Linked DNA regions of Oryctolagus cuniculus. Each later gene encodes a partner of the first gene's protein in a complex. Links are inferred from orthologs where the notes say so. Each region holds a gene or a part of one and is shown in the gene's direction. Other genes may lie near its edges.

What was found. Proteins that work in one complex are often made in the same cells at the same time.
Region 2: TAF6 (region 1) and TAF10 share a complex: the UniProt entries of both Homo sapiens proteins name them as parts of the TFIID basal transcription factor complex. The link is inferred for Oryctolagus cuniculus from reciprocal best matches to the Homo sapiens genes TAF6 and TAF10.
Region 3: TAF6 (region 1) and TAF11 share a complex: the UniProt entries of both Homo sapiens proteins name them as parts of the TFIID basal transcription factor complex. The link is inferred for Oryctolagus cuniculus from reciprocal best matches to the Homo sapiens genes TAF6 and TAF11.
Region 4: TAF6 (region 1) and TAF7 share a complex: the UniProt entries of both Homo sapiens proteins name them as parts of the TFIID basal transcription factor complex. The link is inferred for Oryctolagus cuniculus from reciprocal best matches to the Homo sapiens genes TAF6 and TAF7.

Annotation. Positions count from the first base shown.
Region 1 is NC_091450.1:42,376,085-42,380,279, reverse strand, and holds the start of TAF6 (transcription initiation factor TFIID subunit 6), read left to right. Parts: upstream 1-1,384; 5' UTR 1,385-1,911; coding exon 1,912-2,181; intron 2,182-2,271; coding exon 2,272-2,358; intron 2,359-2,478; coding exon 2,479-2,632; intron 2,633-2,818; coding exon 2,819-2,875; intron 2,876-2,969; coding exon 2,970-3,089; intron 3,090-3,297; coding exon 3,298-3,443; intron 3,444-3,552; coding exon 3,553-3,630; intron 3,631-3,718; coding exon 3,719-3,820; intron 3,821-3,910; coding exon 3,911-4,093; intron 4,094-4,195. UniProt on the Homo sapiens protein: The TFIID basal transcription factor complex plays a major role in the initiation of RNA polymerase II (Pol II)-dependent transcription.
Region 2 is NC_091432.1:60,280,586-60,283,993, forward strand, and holds TAF10 (transcription initiation factor TFIID subunit 10), read left to right. Parts: upstream 1-1,486; 5' UTR 1,487-1,523; coding exon 1,524-1,755; intron 1,756-1,895; coding exon 1,896-2,050; intron 2,051-2,290; coding exon 2,291-2,355; intron 2,356-2,441; coding exon 2,442-2,556; intron 2,557-2,737; coding exon 2,738-2,827; 3' UTR 2,828-2,904; downstream 2,905-3,408. Other genes in the region: ILK (integrin-linked protein kinase), read right to left, coding at 3,138-3,287. UniProt on the Homo sapiens protein: The TFIID basal transcription factor complex plays a major role in the initiation of RNA polymerase II (Pol II)-dependent transcription.
Region 3 is NC_091436.1:134,549,494-134,553,786, forward strand, and holds the start of TAF11 (transcription initiation factor TFIID subunit 11), read left to right. Parts: upstream 1-1,489; 5' UTR 1,490-1,598; coding exon 1,599-1,769; intron 1,770-4,239; coding exon 4,240-4,293. Other genes in the region: ANKS1A (ankyrin repeat and SAM domain-containing protein 1A), read right to left, coding at 1-190. UniProt on the Homo sapiens protein: The TFIID basal transcription factor complex plays a major role in the initiation of RNA polymerase II (Pol II)-dependent transcription.
Region 4 is NC_091437.1:28,859,467-28,862,672, reverse strand, and holds TAF7 (transcription initiation factor TFIID subunit 7), read left to right. Parts: upstream 1-1,179; coding exon 1,180-2,229; 3' UTR 2,230-2,702; downstream 2,703-3,206. UniProt on the Homo sapiens protein: The TFIID basal transcription factor complex plays a major role in the initiation of RNA polymerase II (Pol II)-dependent transcription.

The DNA of each region.
Region 1 (4,195 bases):
CCCGCGTGTGTGCTTGCCTTGGACGGATCCTGGGGGAGATGGGGTGGGCTCTCTGAGCCGCCCTTCCGTGTTGCCTGAGGATCTCCGACCCGCTTCTCCGCTGGGGAAGACGACTTCCCAGCTCTAGCTCGAGTTGACCTCCTCCGAGAAGCCTTCCTGCCGCCGCCGCCGCCGCCCCCGCCGCCCCGAGGAGCTCCTGCGGCTGTAGCGTGTCTTATGAGCCTTTACTGGCAGAGGGCACTGGTACTGGAGAACTAGTCGGAGTTCGCCCGGCGCCAGGCACGGAGTATGTGTTGAATAATTGTGTTCCCTTCAGATGTGAAAGCGGGGGTGAAGACCTAGGACTGCTTCAGAAGAACCAGGTCCTCCTGCCTCCATTCCCCCACCCCGCCCCCGGCCTGTCTCCACCGAGTCCTGAACACCCCTGATGTTCCTTTTCCTAACGCCAAGCTCCGTGCGTGCCGCTCTCCTTCGGAGCCTGTGGCTTATTCGTCTTGGCACTAGTGATATTGAAAACTTACTGGGCATCGACACCTCTCAGCCTTACAGTCCATTCATTTACTCAACAACTATTTATTACTTCCGGTGTCACGGGCACCAGCCTGGGTTTCAGGAATACATCAGTGAGCAAAACAGAGATCCCTGTCTCCATGGTGGGCGATTCGGGCACTGATAATAAGAATGCCAAAAATAAGAAGTGGTGCGGCGTATTGATTAAATGCTCTGGGACAGAGCAAAATGCAATGGAATGAGGGCAGACGAATAGGGTGGTCAGCATAGGTAGCAATAAAGCTGGCCCCCACCAGAGGAGAAAAGGAACGAGTGGACTCCTGAGCATGAAGCTGTAGAGGGACTTTATGAGGAGAGACTCCTAGACAGAGGGAGAGAGCCGAGGCCGTAGAGCAAGAGCACGCCTCGCAGGTGGTTGTGGCAAGGTGGAAGAAGGAACAGGCCAGAGGTGGAATGGGAGAGGGAAGACCTTGAAGGGTCGGTAGACAAGGAGCCATTACAGGGAACTGTGGTTTGAATACGACTTTTCCACCAGCTCTAATCCCCAGAGTCACGCTAATGGTGTTAAGGGGGTGGGAGCTTAAATCTGACTTTGGCGTTTAGAGGCGTGGCCTTTGGAAGGTGTTAAGGTTTAGATAAGGTCATTAGGGTGAAGCCCTTGTAATTGAATCCTGGTGGGTTTATAAGAACAGAGATACACACATACAATCCCACCAGGACGTGAGGCAGCGTGGGGGCAGGGGACTTGCCAGCCCCTGTGAGCTGTGAACCTCTTTATGGAGTAGCATGCCTCAGGGACTTCATTATAGTAACAAAGAGCTGGCTGATGCTCCAGGTTTTCAGTGGAGAAATGACAATCTGGCTTACATTTTTTTTTTTTTTTTTTGACAGGCAGAGTGGACAGAGAGACAGAGAGAAAGGTCTTCCTTTGCTGTTGGTTCACCCTCCAATGGCCGCCGCGGCCAGCGCACCGCGCTGATCCGATGGCAGGAGCCAGGAGCCAGGTGCTTTTCCTGGTCTCCAATGGGGTGCAGGGCCCAAGCACCTGGGCCATCCTCCACTGCACTCCCTGGCCACAGCAGAGGGCTGGCCTGGAAGAGGGGCAACCGGGACAGAATCCGGCGCCCCGACCGGGACTAGAACCCGGTGTGCCGGCGCCGCTAGGCGGAGGATTAGCCTAGTGAGCCGCGGCGCCGGCCTTCAATCTGGCTTACATTTTGGCAGAGTCACTTTGGCTGCTATGTTGGGAATTCGTGTAGAGAGGAAGGAGTTACCCAGGCAATAGGTGGATGGTGGTGACCTGGGCCAAACTAAGTAAAAGAATCAGGTTGGATTACTTGGTGGATCTGATGGGAGGGTGGGATAAAGAGTGCCTGGATACATGGAGAGCTGAGCTTGGAGATGGTAAGGGAGACTGGGAATTCGGTTTTGGTGGGGACTTTGGGTTGTTTTCCTCTTTGCCTCCTCCCTGTCTCTCCCCTACAGCATCCTCCTTCAGGGAGGAGGAGTTCCAGAATGGCTGAGGAGAAGAAGCTGAAACTTAGCAACACCGTGCTGCCCTCGGAATCCATGAAGGTGGTGGCCGAGTCCATGGGCATCGCCCAGATCCAGGAGGAGACCTGCCAGCTGCTGACCGATGAGGTCAGCTACCGCATCAAGGAGATCGCCCAGGTAGCCGGGGCCTTCCGTCCAGGGTGTCGCCTGGGCCCTCTTCTCCCTCCAGGTCTTGGATTGATGATGTCTGTTCTCCCTCCTCCCCAGGACGCTTTGAAGTTCATGCACATGGGTAAGCGGCAGAAGCTCACCACCAGCGACATTGACTACGCCCTGAAGCTGAAGAACGTCGAGGTGACGGGGGCGGAGGGGTGGCAGCAGGGAGCGGAGACGCCAGCCTTCCAGATGCTGCGTTGACCTTCGGCCAGGCCTCCACGGGCTCCTCTCTCAGTGTCTGCGTCTCTCCTGCTGCAGCCCCTCTATGGCTTCCACGCTCAGGAGTTCATCCCTTTCCGTTTCGCCTCTGGCGGGGGACGGGAGCTGTACTTCTACGAGGAGAAGGAGGTTGATCTGAGCGACATCATCAACACCCCGCTGCCCCGGGTGCCCCTGGACGTCTGCCTCAAAGGTCGGGGCAGGGGTGGGCGGGGTGGCGGGGAGGAGGAGTGTGGGTGTGGGTGTGAGAAAGTCAGAAGAGAAGCAGGCCTCTGGTGAGTGGCAAGAAGGGGATCAGGGACAAACACGCCTCCCTCAGGGTGGCGTGGCCGCCTCATGTCCAGGTCCCGCACCTCAACTTGACACCTCTTTCCTGCAGCTCACTGGCTGAGCATTGAAGGCTGCCAGCCAGCTATACCAGAGAACCCACCCCCAGGTAACCGCCATACCCAGCGCCCACCCCTGCCCTGTCCTCCATCCCCTCCTCCTGCCTCGCGTCACCTCTCCTGCTGGGACACCTTTCCCTCCAGCTCCCAAAGAGCAGCAGAAGGCTGAGGCCACAGAACCCCTCAAGTCCACAAAGCCGGGCCAGGAGGAAGATGGGCCCCTGAAAAGCAAAGGTCAAGGGGCCGCGCCAGCCGACGGCAAAGGTCAGTGCTGCTGGGCCAGGCTCCTCCCGACGCCCACTGGTCGTTTGTGAAGTGCGTGAGGTCATGGCCAGTGAGGCCCGGAAGGGATGGAGAACCCTAGGAGAGGGAGCCAGGCCGCCTGGATGGGGATGTGGGACGTCGAGGTTGTCTGGCACCGCGGCATCTTCTGGAGCTTCCTTCTGCAAACCTGTGTCCTCGGTTCCCACAGGGAAAGAGAAGAAGGCACCGCCCCTGCTGGAGGGGACCCCTTTGCGCCTGAAGCCCCGGAGCATCCACGAGTTGTCCGTGGAGCAGCAGCTGTACTACAAGGAGATCACAGAAGCCTGCGTGGGGTCCTGCGAGGCCAAGAGAGCGGTGAGGCCCCACCGCCCCGCCGGCCCGCCCTCCCCCCAGGACGCCTCCTCTGGGGCTCCAGGTTGTCCCACCATCCCGCCCCGCCTCACTCGCTCCCCCTCTCCCACAGGAGGCTCTGCAGAGCATTGCTACGGACCCGGGCCTCTACCAGATGCTGCCGCGATTCAGCACCTTCATCTCAGAGGGGGTGAGGATGAGGTTCAGCAGGAGCAAGGGGTGCTCTGAGTTCTTGCACCTCGGGGGGTCTCACTGCCCCCACCTCTCCCCGGCCACAGGTCCGTGTGAACGTAGTTCAGAACAACCTGGCCCTGCTCATCTACCTGATGCGCATGGTAAAGGCGCTGATGGACAACCCTACGCTGTATCTAGAAAAATACGTGAGTGCCCCTGCCTGCCCTCCGGCCTCCCCGCGGCCACCGAGGCGGCACCTGCCGGGCGGGCTCAGCTGAGCCACGCCTCTCCGTCAGGTGCATGAGCTGATTCCAGCTGTGATGACCTGCATTGTGAGCAGGCAGCTGTGCCTGCGACCCGATGTGGACAATCACTGGGCACTCCGGGATTTTGCCGCCCGCCTGGTGGCTCAGATCTGCAAGCATTTCAGCACAACCACTAACAACATCCAGTCCCGGATCACCAAGACCTTCACCAAGGTGAGCTGGCCGCTCCCCGTCACTGCCCCAGGCCCGTCAGCAGCTCCGCCCACAGCAGCCGCGGGGGACAGAATGCTGTCCTTTTCAGACACCGTTGATCTG
Region 2 (3,408 bases), on another chromosome or scaffold:
CAAAATATTCGACCTATTATTTGTCTTTGGTAAACAACATTATGTCTCTTCCAACCAAGCCTGAAATCTGTGCCATCCTTGACTCCTCTATTTCCTTCACCTATCACCATATTCAATCAACATCCCTACAGATTTTGCCTCTTAAAAAAAAAAGTGTTTATCAATTTACAATGCATTCCAACTATATTTAAATATATTTAGAACTTACCCATTCTCTCTTTTCCCAGTGCTACCATATTAGCTTTGAACCATATTCTCTCTCTTCTGAATATGCAGGAGGCCCTTGCAAAAATAGTGTCCATGCTTCCTACCCAGCCTTAATACATTTTCCAAAGTAAAATGTAAACCTCCTCAGGCCATTTACTTGATTAAAATCCTTCAAAATTACTGGATAAAGTTCAGGCTTGGTTCACAAACCTTTTCTGCTATTTGCTCCTGAGTAACAAAATCATTTTTCCTTCCCTTAAGGAACTCGCCCTAGTTGAAGCCACCCCTGATAGAAATGCCTGGTTAATTTCCAGGATTCTTTACAGACTCAGCTCTAAAGTCATCTCATTGAAGGTTTAGATTCCCAGAAGCTAACTGATTTTTGTGTAGCATAAAAATCCTAGATTTTTGTAACCAAACCTGAGTGAACCTTGGTTGCAATACAAATGAGAACCTTGAGCAAAAGAGTTTATCGCCTTGAGCCCATTTCCTCATTACCTGTCTTTCATAACAATCAGGGAATAATTCAGTGGAATAATGCCGACGGAGCGCTTGGCACCTGGAAGTAGGCAGCAATTGTTCCCTTCCTCCATTGCACTGCACGCACTGCCTACCTCTAGCATCGTTAACGCCCATATGGTATTGAAATTGCCAGTTTACCTCCTTTTCCAAGACCACTGGTGCCTACAGAACTAGAATTTTGTCCTACTTAACTTTGTATTCCCAGTCAAGAGTGGCTCAAGAGTTGGCAAATACGAATTAAATAAATGTTTGCGGAATGGGAAACCTCATGCTTTCGCTTGATGTGATTTTGTTTCCTTAGGCTGAAATACTCTCCTCTCCATCTACAGCATCACTGAATGCGGCACTCTCCCTTGCAGGCAGTTGGCTTGGGAGGGGGCTTTCCAACGCCACTCTGAACCTTTAAAAGGTTGAATAAGGAAACCAGGAAAATGCGGACTGGCAGACTAGGGGTGCCGGGCCGATGAGCCCCAAATCAAGGTCTTGGAACGTCCGATTGAATGAGGAGTCCTCGACCCGTAATTAGAGCCCGGGACCCACAAGTGCGGAGTCGACTGGGAGCACCGCGGGGTGGAGGGTGGAATGGCGACCGCGTAGTTCTCCCGGATTGGTCTCCGCCCCCTTGCCTCCTCGCCTAACCCGCCGTGAGGCAAAGAAAGGAGGCGGGAAGCCGCAGGGACCGAGCAAATATTGACAGGCGGGGCGAGTCGGGGAGCGCGTGACGTCACTCTGGGGTGTGCGTAACGTGAGCGGAAGCGGAAGCGGCTCTGTTCGCCGCCTCTCCCACCAGCCCGATGAGCTGCAGCGGCTCCGGCGCGGACCCCGAGGCGGCGCCGGCCTCCGCCGCCTCGGCCCCGGGCCCGGCACCCCCGGTCTCGGCTCCCGCCGCGCTGCCCACCAGCACCGCCGCGGAGAACAAGGCCAGCCCCGCGGGGACAGCAGGGGGGCCTGGGGCTGGAGCCGCGGCCGGGGGCGCGGGACCCGTGGCGGCGCGGGCTGGGGAGCCCACCGAACGGCGCGGGGCGGGTGAGGGCCGGGACGGGTGAGGGTGAGGGAAGAGCCTTGGACGGGGCTTCGCGGCGGGTGAGGGTTGAGGGTACAAGGCAGATCTGCCTGGGACCCTGCGCCTGTCACCTCCGTGTCTCAGTTTGCTGGTTCTCCTCCAGCTCCGGTGTCGGCGGGCGGCGCGGCACCCCCGGAGGGGGCGATGTCTAACGGGGTTTACGTACTACCGAGCGCGGCCAACGGAGACGTGAAGCCCGTGGTGTCTAGCACGCCTCTGGTGGACTTCTTGATGCAGCTGGAGGACTATACGCCTACGGTGGGCTTCCCGCCTGAACAAGGCCATCTGGCCCGCATCCACGCCAACTTACAGCCACACCTCCGTGCTTTCCAGCGTCATCTTACATTTGCTCCCCTACTAGCTCTTGTGATTTAGTCCCTCCGCCCACCCAAACTGTGAGCTTCTTGATAGCCAGGCCTATCCTCTCTCCCTCACCCTCCTCCCACAGCCCAGCAGGGAGCAGGACTAATGCTGACAGTTGTCTCATTGATTTCTCAGATCCCAGACGCAGTGACTGGTTACTACTTGAACCGTGCTGGCTTTGAGGCCTCAGACCCACGCATGTGAGTAAACCCAGGGTAGGCTAGAGCTTTGAGTGCTTCTGCAGGTTGTTGTCCACCTCCTTCTCATACCAGTTTTTTCTCTCTAGAATTCGGCTCATCTCCCTAGCTGCCCAGAAATTCATCTCAGATATTGCCAACGATGCCCTACAGCACTGCAAAATGAAGGGCACAGCCTCTGGCAGCTCCCGGAGCAAGAGCAAGGTGTGAGGGGAGGCTCACTTAACCAGTAATTACCCTCCACAGCAGCGGAGGCTTAACTTATCCTGAGAGCCCTGTGGGGAAACTAAGTCCCAGGGGAGGTGTAAGGCTACTCAGGATCACCCACCTGGGACTTCAATCTCGGATTCCTGTGCTCAGCTGGTACTCTTCCCTCTTCCCTCAGGACCGCAAGTACACTCTAACCATGGAGGACTTGACCCCTGCCCTCAGCGAGTATGGCATCAATGTGAAGAAGCCGCACTACTTCACCTGAGCCACGCAACCTAAATGTACTTCTCTATCCCCATGTCCCCACACCAGCCTGTTTTCGTAATAAACTTTATTGTGACAGGCGGGGCTGATCCCTCCCATTCTGGGAGACACCGTGTGGCAAGTGACAAAGCTCTGAGCCCAGCCCCTTTTGGGGCCACAGTGGTAGGGATGGGGGCAGAGGATGGGCCCCATGGCTGGGGTAGTACCATGACTGGAGGCAGGGGAGGCAACCAGAGGCCTACTGCTTTGGGGAGTTACACTCCCCCAACCATGTCCTGACACCTTGGAGTTTCAGCAAGGACCTTGCAGTTCTATTTGTCCTGCATCTTCTCCAGGATAGGCACAATCATGTCAAATTTGGGTCGCTTAGCAGGGTCTTCATTCATGCAGATCTTCATGAGCTTGCACACATGGGGGGAAATACCTGGTGGGATGGTGGGCCGAAGGCCTTCCAGTGCCACCTGCGAATACAAGGAAAATTAAGATGAGCTTCAGAATTTGAGTGTGTCATACAGGAAGAGACCTCTGACCCTTGGGACAGGATTATGTATCTGAACAACTGTGGGTAGAGCTACAATTATT
Region 3 (4,293 bases), on another chromosome or scaffold:
GCAGACTGGAGAGAGGGTGGCTGGAAGAGCCGAGGCCGCCGCCGCCGCCGCCGCCGCCGCCACTGCCCCCAGAGGAGCCGCCGCCGCCACCCCCGAAGCCTGAGGAGAGCCGCTTCCCGGACAGCAGCTTCTCCACGGCCGGGAGGTGCCCGGTGCGGGCCGCCTCCAGCAGCTCCTGCTCCTTCCCCATCCCCAGGGCCGCCACCCCAGGACCCCCCACCCCGGGGCCACCGTGGAGCCGGCTCGGCTCCCAAACTTTCCGTCTCCGGGCAACGCACCCCCTAAACCGGCCGGGGACACCACCCCCCTCCCCCCCCGCCTTTTCCCCACGAGCGCGTCACTTCCGGGATCCGGCGTCACGCGTCACCGCGCCCCCATGCCCCGCCCCCTTGCCCACCTAGCTGGGCGGGGCTCCGCGTCCCTGTGCAGGTGGACCTTGGTGTGTCAGGACAGGACTTGGGGGTCAATGGGGCAGTGCCATGTGGGTACCCATTGAAGAAGTGGAAAGGGACAAAGGGGACCCACCTGTGTACGCCTCCAAAGTGCGCTTCTTTTCCAAAGGTTTTGGGAGCTCACGGGACAGGAAATACGGTAATTCGTCCCGGCGGTGTGGAAACAAAGAGAGAAATATGGTAATACGCACCTACATTTCCAAGTCCGTTCTTTAAGCATAAAGCAGTATGTAACAGGTGCGGGAGCCTGGTAATACAGAGGTGAATAAAACGCCCTGCCCCTCCCTCCGCGTGCCTCAATGAAAAAAGGCAGGACATTTTAAAAGCAGAAATATCCTAGCCCCTTCACCATCCCAATCCGTGAAATGGCTCATTAAAGTGAAGCGCTCAAAGGAGAGACCTCCCACCCTGTAGGGATTCCTCATGATGAGACTGAGTGGGTAACAGAAGTCAGGCTTGAGAAACCTATCCCGATTTTCAGCACTGGCGAACTGGAAAAATCATTTAATTCGGTAGAAAATGTTTTTTCCCTGTACTAGCGCTGCTCCGGACTCAGAAACAGGCAGTCAACACTCGTGGAGTGAATGAATGGGTTGGATAAACACTGCTCAAGCAATAGGACTTTTTTTTTTTAAGGTGCTCGTGAAATATTCGTAGAGGGGAAATGGTGGCAATTCAATGTAAAGTCAGGCCCGCAGTCTGTCCAGGTGAAATAAAGGAGGTTGAGTCCCTGCCTGAAAGTTTGCTACCCCAAGGTTACGCGACAGCCGCGTACAAAAGGAGCAGTTTTCTCCCAGGTCCTCCAACTTTGAGGAAGAGGTTAACTGACAAAGCATTCTTAGAACGACGGAAAGGAAAAAGAAACCCTTCAGGAAGCACAACTGCACTTCTTCACAGGTGCTGGTCTCCAAGGACGGATCCACAGGGGACTTTGCACCCTCAGCGTTCTCTCTCCAGCACCACCCACCCAGGATTCAAACGGAGCCCTCAGGTGCTCCGCGCGCCCCCCATGGCCCTTCCGAGGACCAGTAGTGGTGACGACATCGCGGTGCGACGACAGGAAGTAAGCGCCCACTGTGCCGCGCGAGGTCCGGAGCTCCGCGGCCGACAGCACCGCGATCTCCTCCCCTTGCCGTTCTAGCTGTGATGGACAATGCCCGCGAGTCTCCTGCGGACAAAGGTGGGGAAGCAGGGGAGTCAGACGAGACGACTGCTGCTCCTGGGGGCCCGGGGACTGCGGACACGGACGGGATCCCGGAGGAAGCGGACGGAGACGGAGACGCGGACTTGAAAGAAGCGGCAGCGGAGGAAGGCGAGGTAGGCAGAGAAGTGTGACTGAGGTTGGAGGCATACGCCGGGATTGTGTTACCCGGAGCTCGCCACGATTCCCTCTAGATCTGCCGTCCGGGGAGTGTGGGAGGAGCAACAAAACTGTGGTGCTGGTTTGGTTCCAGAGACTCGAGCATTAGGTTTTAATATGTTTAGTCCTTGCCTTTCGGGATTAAAGCTACATCTAAGTGAATTTTAAATAGCTTCTTGGTTTTCCTATTGATGAAGTCGGTACTGTCATCCCGAGACTTAGTGCAAGAGCCAAAATCCAGGATTCCCAGCGCGCCTTTCACCGCACTATAGGTCCTCTTAGTTAATTGTTGTTTAAGTACAGCTTTCGTCTTTACAGGAGGCAGAGTTGATCAGATCTGTTAACGGGAGACTTTGAAGTCATATTCTCATCCAGCTGCTGCAGTGTCCTCCGTGCTAATGTCCAGGGGTTTCTATAACGTAAAAACACCAAATCCATCAGCTGTGCTCTCAGGATAGCTCAGCAGGGTTGCCTAACCGCGCAACAATCGCGACCAGAATCTCAGCGTCCTGTGGGTTCCTTTTCTAAAGAGAGAATTTCTAGGATCTTAGAGGCAGAAGGAACTGAAGAGCTCATGGACTGAACGTTAGATGGATAGCCTTGTCACCAAAACATACACGGTAAGCTTTTAGAAAAAGAGAAGACAGTTGACAAAGCTGAAGAAGGAAAAGTTAAAATGGGTCTCAAGGACGCAAAGGAATTGAATAATTAGCATGGTCCACTAAAGGAGCTCACTACAATATAGAAGTTTGGAGCCAGCAGAGGATAGAATTATGATGCTTTTGAAACATTTTTAAAAATTAGGCCGGCGCCGCGGCTCACTAGGCTAATCCTCCGCCTTGCGGCGCCGGCACACCGGGTTCTAGTCCCAGTCAGGGCGCCAGATTCTGTCCCGGTTGCCCCTCTTCCAGGCCAGCCCTCTGCTGTGGCCAGGGAGTGCAGTGGAGGATGGCCCAAGTCCTTGGGCCCTGCACCCCATGGGAGACCAGGAGAAGCACCTGGCTCCTGCCATCGGATCAGCGCGGTGCGCCGGCTGCAGCGCGCCGGCCGCGGCGGCCATTGGAGGGTGAACCAACGGCAAAGGAAGACCTTTCTCTCTGTCTCTCTCTCTCTCACTGTCCACTCTGCCTGTAAAAAAAAAAAAAAAAAAAAAAAAAAAAAAAAATTAATCAAAGACCAGCATTGTGGCACAGCAGGTTAAGCTACCTGCAACCCCAGAATCCCATATGGGCACTGGTTCAGTTCTGGCTGCTCCGCTTCCAGTCTAGGCCCTTGCTGATGTGCCTGGGAAGGCAGCTGAAGGTGGCCCAAGTTGAGCACCTGCACCCATGTAGGACTTCTGGCTTCCACCTGGCCCAGCCCTGGTGGTTGTGACCAATTGGGGAGTGAACTAGCAGATGGAAGAACTCTGTCTCTCCCTCTCTCTGTAACTCTGCCTTTCGATAAAAATTGATTATGTTGGGGCCAGCACTGTGGATTAGCTTTAAATATGTAACATAATGCATGTAAGTATGTAAAATATTTATTAATATTCTTTAAGTCAGAATCACAAAGTTGGGGGTGGGGGGTGGGGAGTGAGCAAGCTTCCATCTGCCTGTTCATTCCCCCAAATGGTCACAGTGGCTAGAGCTGGGCCAGGCTGAAGCCAGGAGTCAGTAGCTTCTTCCAGGTCTCCCACATGGGTGCAGGGGCCCAAGGACTTGGGCCATCTTTGGGCCATCTTCTGCTGCTTTCCCAAGCACATTAGCAGGGAGCTGGATCAGAAGTAGAGCAGCCAGGACTTGAACTGGCACTCATATGAGATGCCAGTGCTGCAGACAGCAGCTTAACCCACTATGCCACAGCATTGGCCCCTACATATTTTTGATTTTCAAAGAATGTACTTATTAGAAAAAAAAAATGGCCTATCTGCTGATTCACACTCCAAATGCCCAAAACAGCTCAGACACTCTAATAGGGGACATGGACATCCCAACCAGCATCTCAGATTTTCACTCCAGGGCCTCCTTTTTAATAATCTTTCTAAATTGAATCGTCAATAGTAAAAATATCTTTGGATCCAGAGGAGAAGAGCTGGCTGGCTGGAGAGGGCTTTGGTGACATCCCCTGTAAGGAATGAGCAGGAGAGAGAGTCCATGGAGAGAGTGGTTTTCATGATCTTGGCCATTTCTTTATCCTTGTATACAGACACTGAAGCTGTGATCATAGCTAAACTGGAAAACTAGATTATTTAACTGGTTCTTTCTACAGCCTAACTAACCTTCCTTGAGGAGAGATACTGTATCTTATACTGGGTGGAACAGTCAGTTCTGGGACAAAAAAACTACACAATAAGTGGATCTGTTGTGTTATGAGGATGATGTCTTAACCTTAGCCAAGCCTGGAAAGTAGGACAAATATATAATAGAGTTCTTTTCATCTTCCCAGCTCAAAAGTCAGGACGTCTCCGATTTAACAGCAGGTGAAAGGGAAGACGCGTCA
Region 4 (3,206 bases), on another chromosome or scaffold:
GCTCTCCTTACGCCATTGATTTGGGAACTTTTAAATCCACTTTGTGGTTAGTTACAAATTCCTGCACCGACACCAGAATGGGTAACTCCTGGGGAACACGCGAGACGTTTCCCGAAGCAAAACGCTTTCTGCAAACATGCCCTGACCCCCGAAGTCTAGACGCTATCTCGGCGCTTGCCGGTCCGGTACAAATGCTGTCTCAGCAGGGGGAGGCTCTGTGACCTTCCTGCAATCGTTATCTCTTATTTTCAAACTAGGTCGGCAGGAAACTTCATTTTCACGCCCTAAAACAATTCCCCTGGATCCAGAGAACGAGTCCCGGCCGGAATCGCAGCGCCGCGACTGCGTCTGCGCGCGCTCGGGGCGGGCCGTCTTTCCGCCCGGCCGTGCTGTCACTCACGGCCGCTTCCCGCCCCGCGCCGTGACGCAGCGCGGCTTTAAAGCCAGCTCTGCAAGCGGCTGCAGGCAGACGCCTGCGGAGCCTCCGGTGTGTGGCTCTGCGCAGCGCGTCTCGGCGAAATTTCGCGCTTCCCGCCGGGACCGAAGCATTGGTAATCAGTAGCGGATCACTCAGCTGAGCAGCAGGAAGAACAAAGGAGTCGGCGAGAGAAGAGGCTCCCCGCCGCTTTGCAGCGAGTGGCTTCCTCCCCCCGCCGCCTGCGCCCGGCGCGAAGCTGAATTTATAACCGTCACTGGATTGTAAGTACCCGAGGCAAAGGCAGCTCGCTGCGTCCCGCTTTTTCAGTTATGCTTGTTTCGGGAGGGTTTGGGTCGGTGTTGACTGCTTGTCCTAATTTTGTGCCGTCTTCATTCTGCAGGAGCCGCCATTTGCTTTCCTGCTCGCTCGCTCGCCCGCTTGCTCTGTCTGCATTGTCTGGAGGCGGCACCTAGAGGCTGGAACTCGGCATTGCAGCTCCAGGCTTTAAATGGACTTAATTCTCTGAATAAGCCAGTGTGTCGGTAACAAACAGCGGGTGTGGAGTGCAGCATATTTAGAGAAAAGATTTGTGGCTTGATTAAAAATTAAGACAAAACAGATGCTTAGCTACTGTTCTGCATAGAACCTTCTGTTGTTAGATTTTAATTCATAAGGAACTGGTCTTTTAAATTGTTGCAGTAGCTGAAACTTTTCAGTGCAGCAAGTGTTTATTAGGAGAAGGGAGTCAGAAAGAAGTGAAGATGAGTAAGAGCAAAGATGATGCCCCTCATGAGCTGGAGAGCCAGTTTATCTTGCGCCTGCCTCCAGAATATGCTGCTACTGTGAGGAGGGCAGTGCAGTCGGGGCATGTCAACCTGAAAGACAGACTGACCATCGAGTTACACCCCGATGGGCGTCATGGAATTGTCAGAGTGGACCGGGTCCCTCTGGCCTCAAAACTGGTGGATCTGCCGTGTGTTATGGAAAGCTTGAAAACCATCGATAAAAAAACCTTTTACAAGACTGCTGATATCTGTCAGATGCTCGTGTCCACAGTTGATGGTGATCTTTATCCCCCTGTGGAGGAGCCAGTTGCTGCTGCTGACCCCAAAGCAAGCAAGAAAAAGGATAAGGACAAAGAGAAAAAGTTCGTCTGGAACCATGGAATTACTCTGCCTCTAAAGAATGTCAGAAAGAGAAGATTCCGGAAGACAGCAAAGAAAAAGTATATTGAGTCTCCAGACGTGGAGAAAGAAGTGAAGCGGTTGCTGAGTACAGATGCGGAAGCTGTCAGTACTCGCTGGGAGATAATTGCTGAAGATGAAACAAAAGAGACGGAGAATCAAGGCCTTGACATCTCTTCCCCAGGAATGTCTGGCCACAGGCAGGGCCAGGACTCCCTGGAGCACGATGAGCTTCGGGAGATATTCAATGACCTCAGCAGCAGCAGCGAGGATGAAGATGACACCCAGCACCAGGACGAAGAAGATATAAACATCATCGACACTGAGGAAGACCTGGAGAGACAGCTGCAGGACAAGCTGAATGAGTCAGATGAACAGCACCAAGAAAACGAAGGGACCAACCAGCTGGTTATGGGCATTCAGAAGCAGATTGACAACATGAAAGGCAAGCTCCAGGAGACCCAGGACAGGGCCAAGCGACAGGAGGATCTCATCATGAAGGTGGAAAACCTGGCTCTCAAGAACAGATTTCAGGCTGTGCTGGATGAGTTAAAACAAAAGGAAGACCGAGAAAAGGAGCAGCTCAGCTCTTTGCAGGAAGAGCTGGAGTCACTCCTAGAGAAGTAAGAAGAATTTTGATCATTTTGAACCTGATGGTTCCACACTAAGAAAATCTTCATCACTTTTTCTGGATTTTAAGATTTTGCAGTAGTTCCCGTTCCTTCTAATGCTAGAAGTTCTTTTTAAATTATCTTGTTTTCAAGAAGCACTTTGCTAGGTGTTCATTCTATAGAATTAGGATTGACTAGGCAGTAATGTAATTGTTAGGAAGTTGTAGGGTTAGTGGAATGAACAGCTGAACCCTAATATTCACAGCTGCATTGCAGGACTTTGCTGCTGTTTCCCCATTTCCCGGAAGCTGCTATTGCTGCCATGTGGTGCCTTCTGAGATAGGTAAGAACCTAGTGTAGAGGCAATGAAGTTGGTTTGCATATGTTTCCCTAACTATTTTCTCAGTTAAATCAAAGCAGTTTCACACATGTAGAGATGCAAATAATTTCATAAGGTTTCTAACATAAATAAAAGCGACTAATTTTCAACTTATGTGTCTTGATTTTTTCATTGGTAATAGGAGTCAGATAATCTTTTGAGGTGGTTTCTCGGTAGAGTTTAATGATTGGTCAGTTTGGTCCTGCTTTGCAGGTAAAGAAGCAGTTGTGGGTTAAAAAAAAAAAAAAAAAGGAACATAGCAGAAATTGGGAAATGTCATCTTTGCATTCTATTAAGGTTCTAATCCACCTGCTCCATCAGGAGGCTGGAAAACATGAGATACAGAGCCATTCTAAACTACTCTAGTATTTGTAGATGAAGGCCTGCTTTACCCTTTTTTTTTTTTTTTTTTTTTTGACAGGCAGAGTGGACAGTGAGAGAGAGAGAGAGAGAGAGAAAGGTCTTCCTTTGCCGTTGGTTCACCCTCCAATGGCCGCCGCTGCAGCCGGCGCACCGCGCTGATCCTGGCAGGAGCCAGGAGCCAGGTGCTTTTCCTGGTCTCCCATGGGGTGCAGGGCCCAAGCACCTGGGCCATCCTCCACTGCACTCCCTGG